Linked DNA regions of Macaca fascicularis. The protein of the gene in region 1 purifies or fractionates together with the protein of each later gene. This does not show direct contact. Links are inferred from orthologs where the notes say so. Each region holds a gene or a part of one and is shown in the gene's direction. Other genes may lie near its edges.

Region 1 (6,547 bases):
AAACTTCTCTGTGGCGTACAAGGACCAGTGGGAGGACCTGACTCCCCTCACCTTTGGGGTGCAGGAGCTCAACCTGACTGGCTCCTTCTGGAATGACTCCTTTGCCAGGCAAGGGCACTAGGCTGGGGAGGACTGTGCCACCACAGGTGACCTTCCCACCACTGTGAGTTGCAGGTGGGGCAGGGAGCCAGGGTCAGGTCTGTGTGTTGGGGTGGGGATGGCCATGGTCTGGTTGGGGTCTGGGCAGTGTGAGGATGTAGGAGGTGTCATGGCGGGGGGTGCTGTTGGAGGGGAGTTGCTCAGACTTCTGCCTCCCCATGCTTGTGAGTCTTTGGTTGGGACCTTGGTTGTTAACACCTCCCCCTTGAGCAAAACTTCTGGGACTTTGTGTGGGCAAATGCCAGGCCAGCTACCTGAGGCATTTATGGGGCAACCATGCCCTTCTGTTTGCTCTCACCCCCAAAGCCCAGCCCAGGCACCTTAGTGACCCTAAGAGGGAGTAAAAGGAGAGGTAGTGAGCTCAGGGGAACCAGAGGAAGGACCCCCATGCTGGTGGCAAGGGGAACCTGGGTCCTGGCTTCCAGCTCTGTTCTGGGCTTGCAATGCGACTGGATCCTCAGTTTTCCTATCTGTCAAGTGGGGTCACTGCTTCTTCAGGTGGCTGCAAGGACCCAAGGCAGCTTAGGTAAGAGCAGAGCTGAGGAACTTGTTCCTCTAAGATGCCAAAGGCCCTCCCAGAGCCTCATGGTGCACCTCTTTCTCTGCCTCCACAGGCTCTCACTGACCTATGAACGACTCTTTGGTACCACAGTGACATTCAAGTGAGTCCTGGGGTGGTTGAGGTGTGGGGAGGCTGGTGTGGCCCCAGCCTCCCCAGCTCACCTGACATCCCTGCCACCTTCCCCAGGTTCATTCTGGCCAACCGCCTCTACCCAGTGTCCGCCCGGCACTGGTTTACCATGGAGCGCCTCGAAGTCCACAGCAATGGCTCCGTTGCCTACTTCAATGCTTCCCAGGTCACAGGGCCCAGCATCTACTCCTTCCACTGCGAGTATGTCAGCAGCCTGAGCAAGAAGGGCAGTCTCCTCGTGGCCCGCACGCAGCCCTCCCCCTGGCAGATGATGCTTCAGGACTTCCAGGTATGGCGCAGGGGTGGCCCAGCTTCAGGTGGGGGAGCCCAGGCTGGTGTTTGAGAAACGAAGAGAGGCTTGGGCTTGGGAGTCCTGTCCCTGCGCTGCCCTTGTCCCAGTCCTTGCTGGGCCTCCCAACGGTCCTTTCTGACCCGTGTCTGTGTGTCTGCCAGATCCAGGCTTTCAACGTGATGGGGGAGCAGTTCTCCTATGCCAGTGACTGTGCCAGCTTCTTCTCCCCCGGCATCTGGATGGGGCTGCTGACCTCCCTGTTCATGCTCTTCATCTTCACCTACGGCCTGCACATGATCCTCAGTCTCAAGACCATGGATCGCTTTGATGATCACAAGGGCCCCACCATTTCTTTGACCCAGATCGTCTGACCCTGTGCCAGTGGGGGATTGAGGGTGGGACAGTGTCCGTGTTGTTGCTTTCCCACCCTGCAGCACACTGGACTGGAGCTTCCCTCTTCCTACCGCAGCATGAACCCCAAGCTCCCCTCAGCCCATCTTGCTCCCTCTTCAGCCTGCTGAGGAGCTTTCCTGGGCTGCCCCCATCTCTCCCAACAAGGTGTACATATTCTGCGTAGATGCTAGACCAACCAGCTTTCCAGGCTTAGTCGCTGTGAGGCGTAAGGGACATGAATTCTAGGGTCCCCTTTCTCCTTATTTATTCTTGTGTCTACATCATCCCTGGCTGTGGATAGTGTTTTTGTGTAGCAAATGCTCCCTCCTTAAGGTTATAGGGCTCCCTGAGTTTGGGGTGTGGAAGTTCTACTTAACTGTCCTGCTTGGCTGTCGTTATCGTTTTCTGGTGATGTTGTGCTAACAATAAGCAGTACACTGGGGTTTATTTCTGTGGCCTGAGAAGGAAGGCACCTCCACAGGTGGGCTGGGTGCGATCGTCGGCTGTCTGGCATGTTCCCACCGGAAGTGCCTGGCAGGAGCAGGGGGTGCTCGGTTGTTTCCTTCCTAATAAAGTAAACGAGGATCGCCATGCGTTGGGCCTCTTGTCGCTCATTTCTGCGCTGAGCTTTTGGCGCGTGCTCGCCAGAGGTATGCGGGAGGATGGAGCCTGGAGAGGGGGAGGCTAGGAGGCATCCCCGGAGACCGGGAGGGGCTTTAGTAAGCTGGGCCCTAACCGCTTAGGTCAGGGAGGGGTGGTCGGGCCGAGTCCCGGTGCGCTTCGGCGTCTCAGGAGGCCGTAGTGACAATGGCAGCCTTCGCGTCGTGAGGGAGCCGCCCCCGGCTGCCGCAGCGGCGCGCGTCCGGTCGCGGGGCCGCGCCGAGACTCCCGGGGGGCGGGGCGGGCGCGCGCGGGGCGGGGCGGGGCGGGGCGCGCCCGGCTCCCGCGCATGGATCCTTCCCGGGCCGCAGCACCGGCCGCCGGCCCGCCCCGCCCGCCCCGCCCGCCCCGCCCCGAGCCTCTCTGGACTCTCGGCGAGCAACGTCGCCCGCGGAGCCGCGCTGGTGCTGTGGCCCGGGCCCTGGCAGCCCTCCCGGGAGGCGAGCCGGGAAGGCGGTGTCCCCTGCCGGGTGCGGCGGGGCGCGGGAAGAGGCGGGACTCTTTGACGCGGCGGAGGGGTCGGGCGGCGGCCGACGCTCCGCCATCTTTGGTCCAGTGCGGTGGCGGCGGCGGCGGTGGCTACTGCTGTGGTGAAGGAGGAGGAGGAGCCGAGCGGGCGCTGCCACTGAGGCCTGACCATGGACGAGGAATACGATGTAATCGTGCTGGGGACCGGCCTCACCGTAAGTGCGGCCCCGGGCGCCCTTGGCCCTGCGTCGTGCCCTCGCCATTCCCCGCGATGATGCGGCCGCCGGCCCATCCTCCGGTCACTGCCATCTTCTGCGCTCGGCTCCCCGAAAAGCCGGCGCCGTGCCCACCCCGCTGCTCCCCCCGCGATGTCGCCTCTGTTCGTTGCCATGACCCCATCTCCCCGAAGGGGCCCCCTTCCTGGCCGCCCCCTGGCCTACCCGGGTCCGACCCCCGGCGCTCTCCCATCTTCCCTACCCCTGCCCTCTGGACCGGAAAACGCACCCCCACTCGGCCCGTTGCCCCCGACCCCGCCCACCCATCGCCCCCACCCCGCCCACCCATCGCCCCCACCCCGCCCACCCATCGCCCCCACCCATCACGGCATCCACCCGTCGCCCGCACCCATCGCCCGCCTAGCGTTGCCTCCCAGCGTCCCTTCCCATCTTGCGCTAATCCCTGTGAGGATGAAGTACAAGGACCTGGGGTCAGGGGGCCTCGCCAGGGTGGGCTCTCAGCCCACCCCCTCGTCGTCTTCTGGGGCCAGGGGATCCAGGGAATGTTCCAGAAGGAGCAGCAGTGGGGGCAGTAAGCACATTCCCGCAACCCCACCTCGGTTGCCCATGGAGACCTCAGGCTGAGTAGCATCTGCAGCCTTTGTCCTTGGGCTAGTGACAGTGACTGGTGAGGGTGTTTATCTTCCCCCTTTCCCCGAAAATCCCGTTGGCCCACTCCCCTCAGAGACTCTTCTCCCTCGGTCCAGACCCAGATGCCCCTCCTCAGCGGCAGGGGCTCCTGCTCTTTGAAGAAAGAGCAGTCCAGGGTGGGGCCTACAATTTCAAGGACTGTGCTAAGCCTTTCTTTGCTTCCCTTTGGAGTGTCTTTCGCAGTCCAGCTGGGTCCCCTCTGTGCCACATTGTGTTTTATCCGCCTTTTTGTGCGGCTCTGCGTAGGTAGATGCCTCTCGGCGTGTTGGTACTGGAAGGCCATCCTGTGTCTGCTGGATGCCCTGCCTACCTCAAAGCCTCCGTTATTTCACTGTCTGCCTTGTGAGGGGGACGGTCTCCTTTACCCCGCAAGGTTGCAATGGAGAGTGTGGTCGGATGAAACCATCACCCCAATTTTAGGCGAGGCAACTAGCCGGTGGGGGTGGTGGATGGAAGGAGCTGTCCACTGAGGCAGGTTTGGGTGGGGAACAAATCAGGGCTGCTGGTAGGAGCAGAGGAAGGTGGGAGTGCAGCGGATTGTGTGGCCCTCCCCCAGGAATGCATCTTGTCGGGCATCATGTCTGTGAACGGGAAGAAGGTGCTGCACATGGACCGGAACCCCTACTACGGGGGCGAGAGCTCCTCCATCACACCCCTGGAGGAGGTGAGGCTGCCTGGGCCCAGGCCCATCCCTGTTAACCTCCCACACAGCGGCACAGGGTGGAAGTAGCTCTCCAGGTGCCTGGAGCAGGAGGAGGTGGTCCCTGAGGTGTCTCTCTCTCCCTTCTGCTTACAGCTGTATAAGCGTTTTCAGTTGCTGGAGGGGCCCCCTGAGTCCATGGGCCGAGGCCGAGACTGGAACGTTGACCTGATTCCCAAATTCCTCATGGCTAACGGTGAGGGACAGGAAGGAGGTATTGCAGGTCGGGGGTGATAGGGAAGACCTAAGGACAGTCAGGCTCCAAAGGAGGCACAGCCAGACCAGCTAGAACCTCTGGAGAGAGCCGTGCTGATGTTGCCCTTGTGCACCCCCACAGGGCAGCTGGTAAAGATGCTACTGTATACAGAAGTGACTCGCTACCTGGACTTCAAGGTGGTGGAGGGCAGCTTTGTCTACAAGGGGGGCAAGATCTACAAAGTGCCGTCCACTGAGACTGAGGCCTTGGCTTCCAGTGAGTGTGGGCCCCCTGAGCCAGAGAAATCATGGGGTGGCAGGGAAGCCAACTGTCTTTGGGATGGGTGGCTGTCCAGAGTAAGGCACCCCTTTGTCCAAAGTCACATTCCCCCATGAAGGACCAGAGGCCCTTCACTCTGTATTCCCTCTGCCCCATGTCATGCCGCATGGCTGGCTGCCAAGAGGGAGGTCCCCACGCAGCAGGGATGTGACGTGGAGGGGAACGGGACTCCTTTTGAAAGACTTGAGCGTGGCCAGGCACGGTGGCTCATGCCTGTAATCCCAGCACTTTGAGAGGCCTAGGCGGGTGGATCACGAGGTTAGGAGTTCAAGACCAGCCTGGCCAACATGGTGAAACCCCGTCTTGTCTCAAAATACAAAAAATTAGCTGAGTGTGGTGGCACACACCTGTAATCCCAGCTACTCGGGAGGCTGAGGCAAGAGAATGGTTTGAACCCGGGAGGTGGAGGTTGTGGTGAGCCGAGATCATACCACTGCACTCCAGCCTGGGCGATAGAGCAAGACTCCATCTCAAAAAACAACAACAACAAAGAAAACTTGAGCCTTTGGCAGGGGCTCCACTGGATCCTCAAGACATCCCCAAGTGTCCAAGCCAGGAAAGCCCTTAGAGTCCATCCAGGCCAATCCCCTCTTCATCCTGGTGGGGAAACTGAGGCTAAAAAGGGTGGAGAGGTTAACCTAAGGTCACAGGACAGCTGGGCTGGGAGTGGGGGTGCCTGCCCTGCTGAGATGGAGAGTTTTGTGCTGCGTTGGTGCAGAACCTCCTCCCGCCACCTTCCTTAGATCTGATGGGTATGTTTGAGAAACGGCGCTTCCGCAAGTTCCTGGTGTTTGTGGCAAACTTCGATGAGAATGACCCCAAGACCTTTGAGGGTGTTGACCCCCAGACTACCAGCATGCGTGATGTCTACCGGAAGTTTGATCTGGGCCAGGATGTCATCGATTTCACTGGCCACGCCCTGGCACTCTACCGCACTGATGAGTGAGGGGAAGCTGGTGTGGCGGCAGCCCCCTCGCCCGGCCCACCTCCTGCCCTCCCCACACCTGCCTGTTGTCCCCCTGCCCTGCATGTTCCTTGTACTCAGCCATAGGCTCACCTGTCACCCTTTCCATTTCCCCCTTGCATTTGATCCTCATCTTCCCCAGGCCATTCAGGGTGGTGGGAAGACTGGCCTGGTACCTGGTACCTGGGTGGGGGTAAGTCAGGGGTGCTGCTACTGGAGCATCTTCCCTAACCCCTGTCCCCCAGCTACCTGGACCAGCCCTGTCTTGAGACCATCAACCGCATCAAGTTGTACAGTGAGTCCCTGGCCCGGTATGGCAAGAGCCCATATTTATACCCGCTCTACGGCCTGGGCGAGCTGCCCCAGGGTTTTGCAAGGTGAGGACGTGGGTTTTTTCAGTTGGCATGGCTGAGTAGGACTAGGGCCAGGAGTGGAGATGGCCCCCTTGAGCATTTCCCTGGTAGCATTTCCTCCTTTCCAATTCGTGATTTTCATTTACTTCACTCCATCCTTGGGTGATGAGGGCACAACCCCAGTGCACTGAAGTACAGAAGTCTCCACACTTGCCGGGCGCGGTGGCTCACGCCTGTAATCCCAGCACTTTGGGAGGCCGAGGCGGGCGGATCACAAGGTCAGGAGATCGAGACCACGGTGAAACCCCGTCTCTACTAAAAATACAAAAAATTAGCCGGGCGCGGTTGTGGGTGCCTGTAGTCCCAGCTACTCGGGAGGCTGAGGCAGGAGAATGGCGTGAACCCG
Region 2 (6,559 bases), on another chromosome or scaffold:
CCAAGTGGGCCCGGCAAGATTTTAGTAAAGTTGTACCTCCCCTGGATGAAGATGGACGGAGCTTGTTATCGGTGAGAGTGGGCACCTGTTTTCCCTCATTCATTTCTCCCAGGGAAGGGCTTTTCCAGGATGAAGGAAGGATGAGACCCTGAAATCTGGGCCTCAGTATTTTGTTTCCCTGGTTCCTGCTCTCCCTGTTGGCACACTGATTCAGCTATGGGAGGATGGAAGTAAGAATTCCGCCTTGGGTAGAAGGAGTTCTGGTTTCCTGATTTCTGGGAACATCTGCTGCCCATTTAGTCCACTATCACATGATTGAAGTCAACATACATCTCTCCCTCTAGCAAATGCTGCACTACGATCCTAACAAGCGGATTTCGGCCAAGGCAGCCCTGGCTCACCCTTTCTTCCAGGATGTGACCAAGCCAGTACCCCATCTTCGACTCTGATAGCCTTCTCGAAGCCTCCAGCCCTAATCTCACCCTCTGCTCCAGTGTGGGCTTGACCTGGCTTGGCCTTGGGCTATTTGGACTCAGGTGGGCCCTCTGATCTTGCCTTAAACACTCACCTTCTAGTCTTGGCCAGCCAACTCTGGGAATACAGGGGTGAAAGGGAGGAACCAGTGAAAATGAAAGGAAGTTTCAGTATTAGATGCACTTAAGTTAGCCTCCACCACCCTTTCCCCCTTCTCTTAGTTACTGCTGAAGAGGGTTGCTATTAAAAAAAAAAAAAAAGAAAAAAAAAAAAAGCCTTCCTACATGTTAGATTTGCCGTACCAATCTCTGAATGCCCCGTAATTATTATTTCCAGTGTTTGAGATGACCAGGATCCCAAGCCTCCTGCTGCCGCAATGTTTGTAAAGGCCAAATGATAGCAGGGGGCTAAGTTGGAACTTTTGAGAACCAAGTCAAACAAAACCACTGGGAGGAGTCTATTTTAAAGAATTCGGTTGAAAAAATAGATCCAATCAGTTTATACCCTAGTTAGTGTTCTGCCTCACCTAATAGGCTGGGAGACTCAAGACTCAGCCTGGGTGGGGCTGCAGAAAAATGATTGGCCCCAGTCCCCTTGTTTGTCCCTTCTACAGGCATGAGGAATTTGGGAGGCCCTGGGACAGGGATTGTGCTTCATTCCAATCTATTGCTTCACCATGGCCTTATGAGGCAGGTGAGAGATGTTTGAATTTTTCTCTTCCTTTTAGTATTCTTAGTTCTTCAGTTGCCAGGGATCCCTGATCCCGTTTTCCTCTGAAGTCCACCTCCTACCCCATAGGAGTTGGAAATTAGGGTTTAGGCATCATTTTGAGAGTACTGACACTTTTTCAGGGCTGTGATTGAGTGAGGGCATGGGCAAAAATATTTCTTTAAAAGAAGGATGAACAATTATATTTATATTTCAGGTTATATCCCATAGGAAGGTTGGCTTTTTTTTTTTTTTTTTTGGTTAGAGTGGGTGGATTTGTTGCCATGTGCACCTTCGGGTTTTGTAATGACAGTGCTTAAAAAAAAAAAAGCATTTTTTTTTGTTTATGATTTGTTTCTGTCACCCTTGTCCTTGAGTGCTCTTGCTATTAACGTTATTTGTAATTTAGTTTGTAGTTCATTAAAAAAATGTGCCTAGTTTTATAGTTCATCTCTTTCCTATTTACTGAAAGAATGGTGAGAAACAGAATATGAATATGTATATGTGATCATTGATTTCGGACCCCTTTTCCTAATCTCTCTGTGCATGGCCACCCACCCCACCCCATTTTGGCTAGTGCTGACAGTGAACAAAGTGGTTATTATCGTTCCTATTTATGGCTGGGGAAACTGAAGTCTATATACTTCCTACTTTCTCCACACACCAGCAAACTTCCTTTCCCCCAGCCAACATACCACACACACACAACACACCACATACACACCATATATGCACACACACACACCCCCATGCACATACATAGCGGCAGGAAAAGGGCTCCCGGGGAATTTGCCTCTCGACACTGCATTTCCCAGTAAGCCCGCCCTTTTTCCTTTCTGTTTCATATCACAAACAGCAAAGTTTTCCAAAGATTATTTTATTTACATTTACATACGATTCTGAAAAAGCGTCTCCAAGCTACCACTTCTTGTAGTTGCCATTGTCTCACTCCAACAAAAAACATCTCAGACCGCCCGCCGGCCACCCCAAATACTCCTGTCCCCTGAAGCCTCACTAAAGGGAGGAAGCGCTGATGTCAGGGTTACTTAAATTCCCAGGCTCCGGATCCCTAGAAGAGGTATTTCCCTTTACGCCCGCGAATTTGTCATAGAAGGCGGGGCACTAGAGCCAGCCCCGGCCAAGTCCAGGGGGAGGGGCGAAGGTCAATAGAGGCCTTCCTAAGGCTCCTGTCAACCCCTCGCCTGCCAGTCAAGTCCCGTATTTTCGTAGTACTGGTTAAAGTTTCACTTTGACCCGCCTCCTTCACTCACCTGATTAGATGTTTATGAGTCAAAAGGCGGGGTCATGGGGTGTCGAGATTTTATTGGTGGATACATACGCCTGTCGGCACTGTACCGCCCCCTGTCTTCAGGAGCTTGCTCTTTAATGGCTCCTTACCTCGTCCATCTTCGAGGTTTCTCCCTTGCTATTGGTTTGTGGCCCCGCCTGTCGAGTCCCTTGCTCGTACTTGTTGGTGACAGCGCCCAAAGAGACCCGCCTTTCTCCAGAGGATTGGTGGATGAGTGCACATATAGCCCACCCCCCGATGGTAGGCGGGTAATCGAGCTATTGGCTGGAACCCCCGCCCCAGGGCGAGGAGGAGAAGGAGGGGCAGGAGGGTTTGGTTGAGCTGCAGCTGTTTGTCTGTTCGACACAGGCTTGGGGCCGACGGGGGAGACGGAGCCCCAGGTACCGAGCTGATGGACCCCAAAGGGCAGGGGCGGAAGCGCCCAGGAGATGAGAGCAACCTGGCCTGAGAGCGGAGGCGGGTGTGGTCCTAAGCGAGGGGTTAGAGTGGCCCACCGGAGAGGGGAGCAGGGGGCCGGGCTCCGGCAGGCCTAATGGGGGCGCTGAGGAGGGGACTGGGCGGGCTGGGACCCCGAAGTTGGTGAGTCGGGAAGGCGGCTGGCTGTGGCGGCGGCCAGGCCGAGGGCCGGGCGCTGGAGGCTCGGTGCTTGAGTGAGGGGAGGGGCAGGCCTCATTAAGCAGCGCTGAAGAGGGAGGAGCTGGGGAAAGGGACAGGGCAGCGGGTGAGGTAAGCCCATTTGCTGGGAGGTGAGGAGGGGTCAGACCTGTCGCCCGAGCCCCGGGGGTGACTTGAGCTGGGTCTCTCCAGAGAGGTTCATTGGAAGGGCCTGAGAAGGGTTCTTAGTTGGAAAGAAGCGTTCTTTTCAGGGAAAGTGCCTATTGTAAAAAGAACTGAGGGTGCTATGGTGTTGAGCTGAGAGAGATTTGGGTTCAGTGAGGGAGAACTGGGGAAAATGAAGAAGGCTGTATTAATCTAGAAGACTAAGGTAGTTGAAGTAATGGAAGCAGGGCCTGAATCAGTTATGGGAGCTTCTGGGAATGCTGAAGGGTGGGCTGGAGGCTCTGGGTCTTGGGAGTACACACTCTTTTGTTCCCTTTAGTATTTAGATGTGGTAATTTGAAGCTTTTTAAAACTCCCAGGGTAGGGATGAAGATCAAAGTAATTTTTTTTTTTTCCATGACTGTTGGCTGCTCCAAACTCAGCCCCTACACTTTCTCTTGGCTTCATAACTGGTCTATATTGCGGTCTGTTTCTTAACTTACTGTTTCCTGTCCTATGAAAGAGCCAAGAGTTGGATTGGGGGCATGTTTTGTCCACTTCTTTCCCACTTAATAATGTGGTCTATAGTGAATACCGTGTCTCCTAGAACTGAGAATCTATTTCATTATCTACATGGGAAAAGGGCTTAGAGATCCTCAGCCATCAGGAAATCTTCTGATTATAGTTGGTGAAACTTTTGTGGGACTTAGACTTGACTTGGGTATTTCCCAGGCAGGTAATGGAGTTAACAGGTCCGAAACTATGAGGTGATATCACTGAGGAAGAGATTTGGGGAAGAGTGAGAAATTCCATTTCAAAAGCTTGGCATCACCCCTTGTTCTTTGTCTACTTCAAAAGCCCAGATTTCTGTGCTGTTAAAAAGTTGGGTAAACTATGAAGTATCTGGGGAAGATGGTGAGTAGAGAAAAAGATACAGAGGTGCAGTAGCCCACGTCTGTAATCCCAGCACTTTGGGAGGCTGAGACAGGAGGATCACTTGAGCCCAGGAGTTCGAGGGTACAGTGAGCCACGATCTTGCCACTGCACTCCAGCCTAGGCGACAGAATGAGACCCTGTCTCCAAAAACAAAAAAAAAAAAGAAGAGTGGAGTACCCTCCTCCCTGCATACTTTTAATGGTCTGCTAGCCTTCTTAGTCCCTCATAGATTGGAGCCTATTGGATTTTCCCTTACTGTGCTTCCTCCTTTTCCCCTTCTCTACCAATATATTTTATCACTACATTTCTTTTTTTTTGAGACGGAGTCTTACTCTCTCGCCAGGCTTGAGTGCAGTGGTGCAATCTCGGCTCACTGCAACCTCCACCTCCCAGGTTCAAGAGATTCTCCTGCCTCAGCCTCCCAAGTAGCTGGGACTACAGGCGCGCACCACCACGCCCAGCTCATTTTTGTATTTTTAGTAGAGACGGGGTTTTACCATGTTGGCCAGGATGATCTCAATCTCTTGACCTCATGATCTGCCCGCCTCGGTCTCCCAGAGTGCTGGGATTACAGGCATGAGCCACTGCACCCGGCCATCACTACATTTCTTAATTACAAAAATAATATGTTCATATTTTAAAATATGGAAGCTGTTCAGCAGTTTAAGAAGTATAAATCCTCCCGTACATACCTTACTCATATTTCATTTAGGAAGGTCAAGGATCAGAGACAGCAAATCAGACTTATCTTGCTTTGCTTTGGGGGATGTGCCACAAAAGGCAGTTCTGTTTTCATGTTCTCACCAAACTCTAGTCTTATTCTTTCTACAGTTTTCCCTTCTGGGATGATACTCTGTTATTTATTGCGTTCCTTTCACAGTTCATTTTGTCTTCTACCAAGTCCAACAAGCAGAGGGCTGTACTGTGTGTTATTCACCTTCAGTACACACACACACACACACACACACACACACACCCCAAGTTATGTGCTGGGTGTCCTAGGAAATGCCCAAAGAGATGGAACAAAACTTTATGGGGAGAAAGGATCATTTTGTTTGGGACAATTGTTGTCATCTCTGCTAAAGAAAGGAATTTCAGAGCCTTATCTCAAATTCATGGTCTCTGGATGTTCATGGTCTCTGCATGTTCACATTACTTGACTATCTCTTTCTTATCCATGATGATGATGGTTCTCCTAAGAGCCCCCTGTATTTGTCTTTCTTTTCTTTTCTTCTATTTTTAGAGACAGAGTCTTGCTCTGTCGCTCAGGCTGGAGTACAGTGTGTGTCTTTCTGTGGGGATCCAAGAAGCTCCAAGCTTATCTGGATTTGAAATCGGTTTTCCTCTAAATCTCAAGAGTCAGAGTACAGCTGGGGCATTTCATATTACCATCTTTTTTTTTTTTTTTTTTTGAGACGAGTCTCGCTCTGTCACCCAGGCTGGAGTACAGTGGTACGATCTCGGCTCACTGCAAGCTCCGCCTCCCAGGTTCACACCATTCTCCTGCCTCAGCCTCCCAAGTAGCTGGGACTACAAGCGCCTGCCACCACGCCCGGCTGATTTTTTGTATTTTTATTAGAGGCAAGGGTTTCACCGTGTTAGCCAGGATGGTCTCGATCTCCTGACTTCGTGATCTGTCCGCCTCGTGCTCTCAAAGTGCTGGGATTACAGGCGTGAGCCACCACGCCCGGCCAACTACCACCTTATTAATTGAATTTGTCCTTACTAGCTTTAAAAGCCCTCTGTTGTACCCAGCCTTTGTATAGTGCCCATCGGAAACCTCAGTTGTTTCCCCCAAGGAACTTTCTTACCTATCCTAGAGACAGTGTGTAGGGGTGTGTGTGTGTGTGTTTTTAGATTTTCACTCTTGTCACCCAGGCTGGAGTGCAATGGCATGATCTCGGCTCACTGCAACATCTGCTTCCTAGGTTCAAGCGATTTTCCTGCCTCGGCCTCTGGAGTAGCTGGGATTACAGGTGTGCGCCACCACGACCAGCTAATTTTTGTATTATTAGTAGAGACGGGATTTTGCCATGCCAGGCTAGACTCAAACTCCTGACCTCAGGTGATCCATGCGCCTCAGCCTCCCAAAGTGCTGGGATTACAGGAGTGAGCCACTGCGCCTGGCCGTGTGTGTGTGTGTGTGTGTGTGTGTGTTTTAATCCTATCTAATTTTTCCAACAGTTTTTTGTGTCTTAAGAGGGAGTTTAGGAGTAGAATTATCAATAAGGAATTTCATACATAGACCTGGATTTGCAAAAATATATTTGGAGAAGAGAACTTTCCCATTGCCCTTCAAGTCAAATTTTAAAAAGACCTTACATCTTTTTAAAATTTTTTCTTGGACAATCCGTACTGCATAACATACCTTGT

The links.
Region 2: the proteins of GDI1 (region 1) and RAB5B purify together in Homo sapiens (affinity purification with mass spectrometry; 3 studies listed by BioGRID and IntAct, counting the BioPlex papers as one, with this or other methods). This does not show direct contact. The link is inferred for Macaca fascicularis from reciprocal best matches to the Homo sapiens genes GDI1 and RAB5B.

What each region holds. Positions count from the first base shown.
Region 1 is NC_088395.1:160,435,362-160,441,908, forward strand, and holds the start of GDI1 (rab GDP dissociation inhibitor alpha), read left to right. Parts: upstream 1-2,738; 5' UTR 2,739-2,833; coding exon 2,834-2,878; intron 2,879-4,145; coding exon 4,146-4,253; intron 4,254-4,385; coding exon 4,386-4,485; intron 4,486-4,626; coding exon 4,627-4,761; intron 4,762-5,567; coding exon 5,568-5,766; intron 5,767-6,033; coding exon 6,034-6,165; intron 6,166-6,547. Other genes in the region: ATP6AP1 (V-type proton ATPase subunit S1), read left to right, coding at 1-108, 774-821, 908-1,139, 1,304-1,513. UniProt on the Homo sapiens protein: Regulates the GDP/GTP exchange reaction of most Rab proteins by inhibiting the dissociation of GDP from them, and the subsequent binding of GTP to them. Promotes the dissociation of GDP-bound Rab proteins from the membrane and inhibits their activation.
Region 2 is NC_088385.1:62,752,223-62,758,781, forward strand, and holds the start of RAB5B (ras-related protein Rab-5B), read left to right. Parts: upstream 1-2,805; 5' UTR 2,806-2,871; exon of another isoform or gene 2,872-2,951; intron 2,952-6,559. Other genes in the region: CDK2 (cyclin-dependent kinase 2), read left to right, coding at 1-71, 345-449. UniProt on the Homo sapiens protein: The small GTPases Rab are key regulators of intracellular membrane trafficking, from the formation of transport vesicles to their fusion with membranes.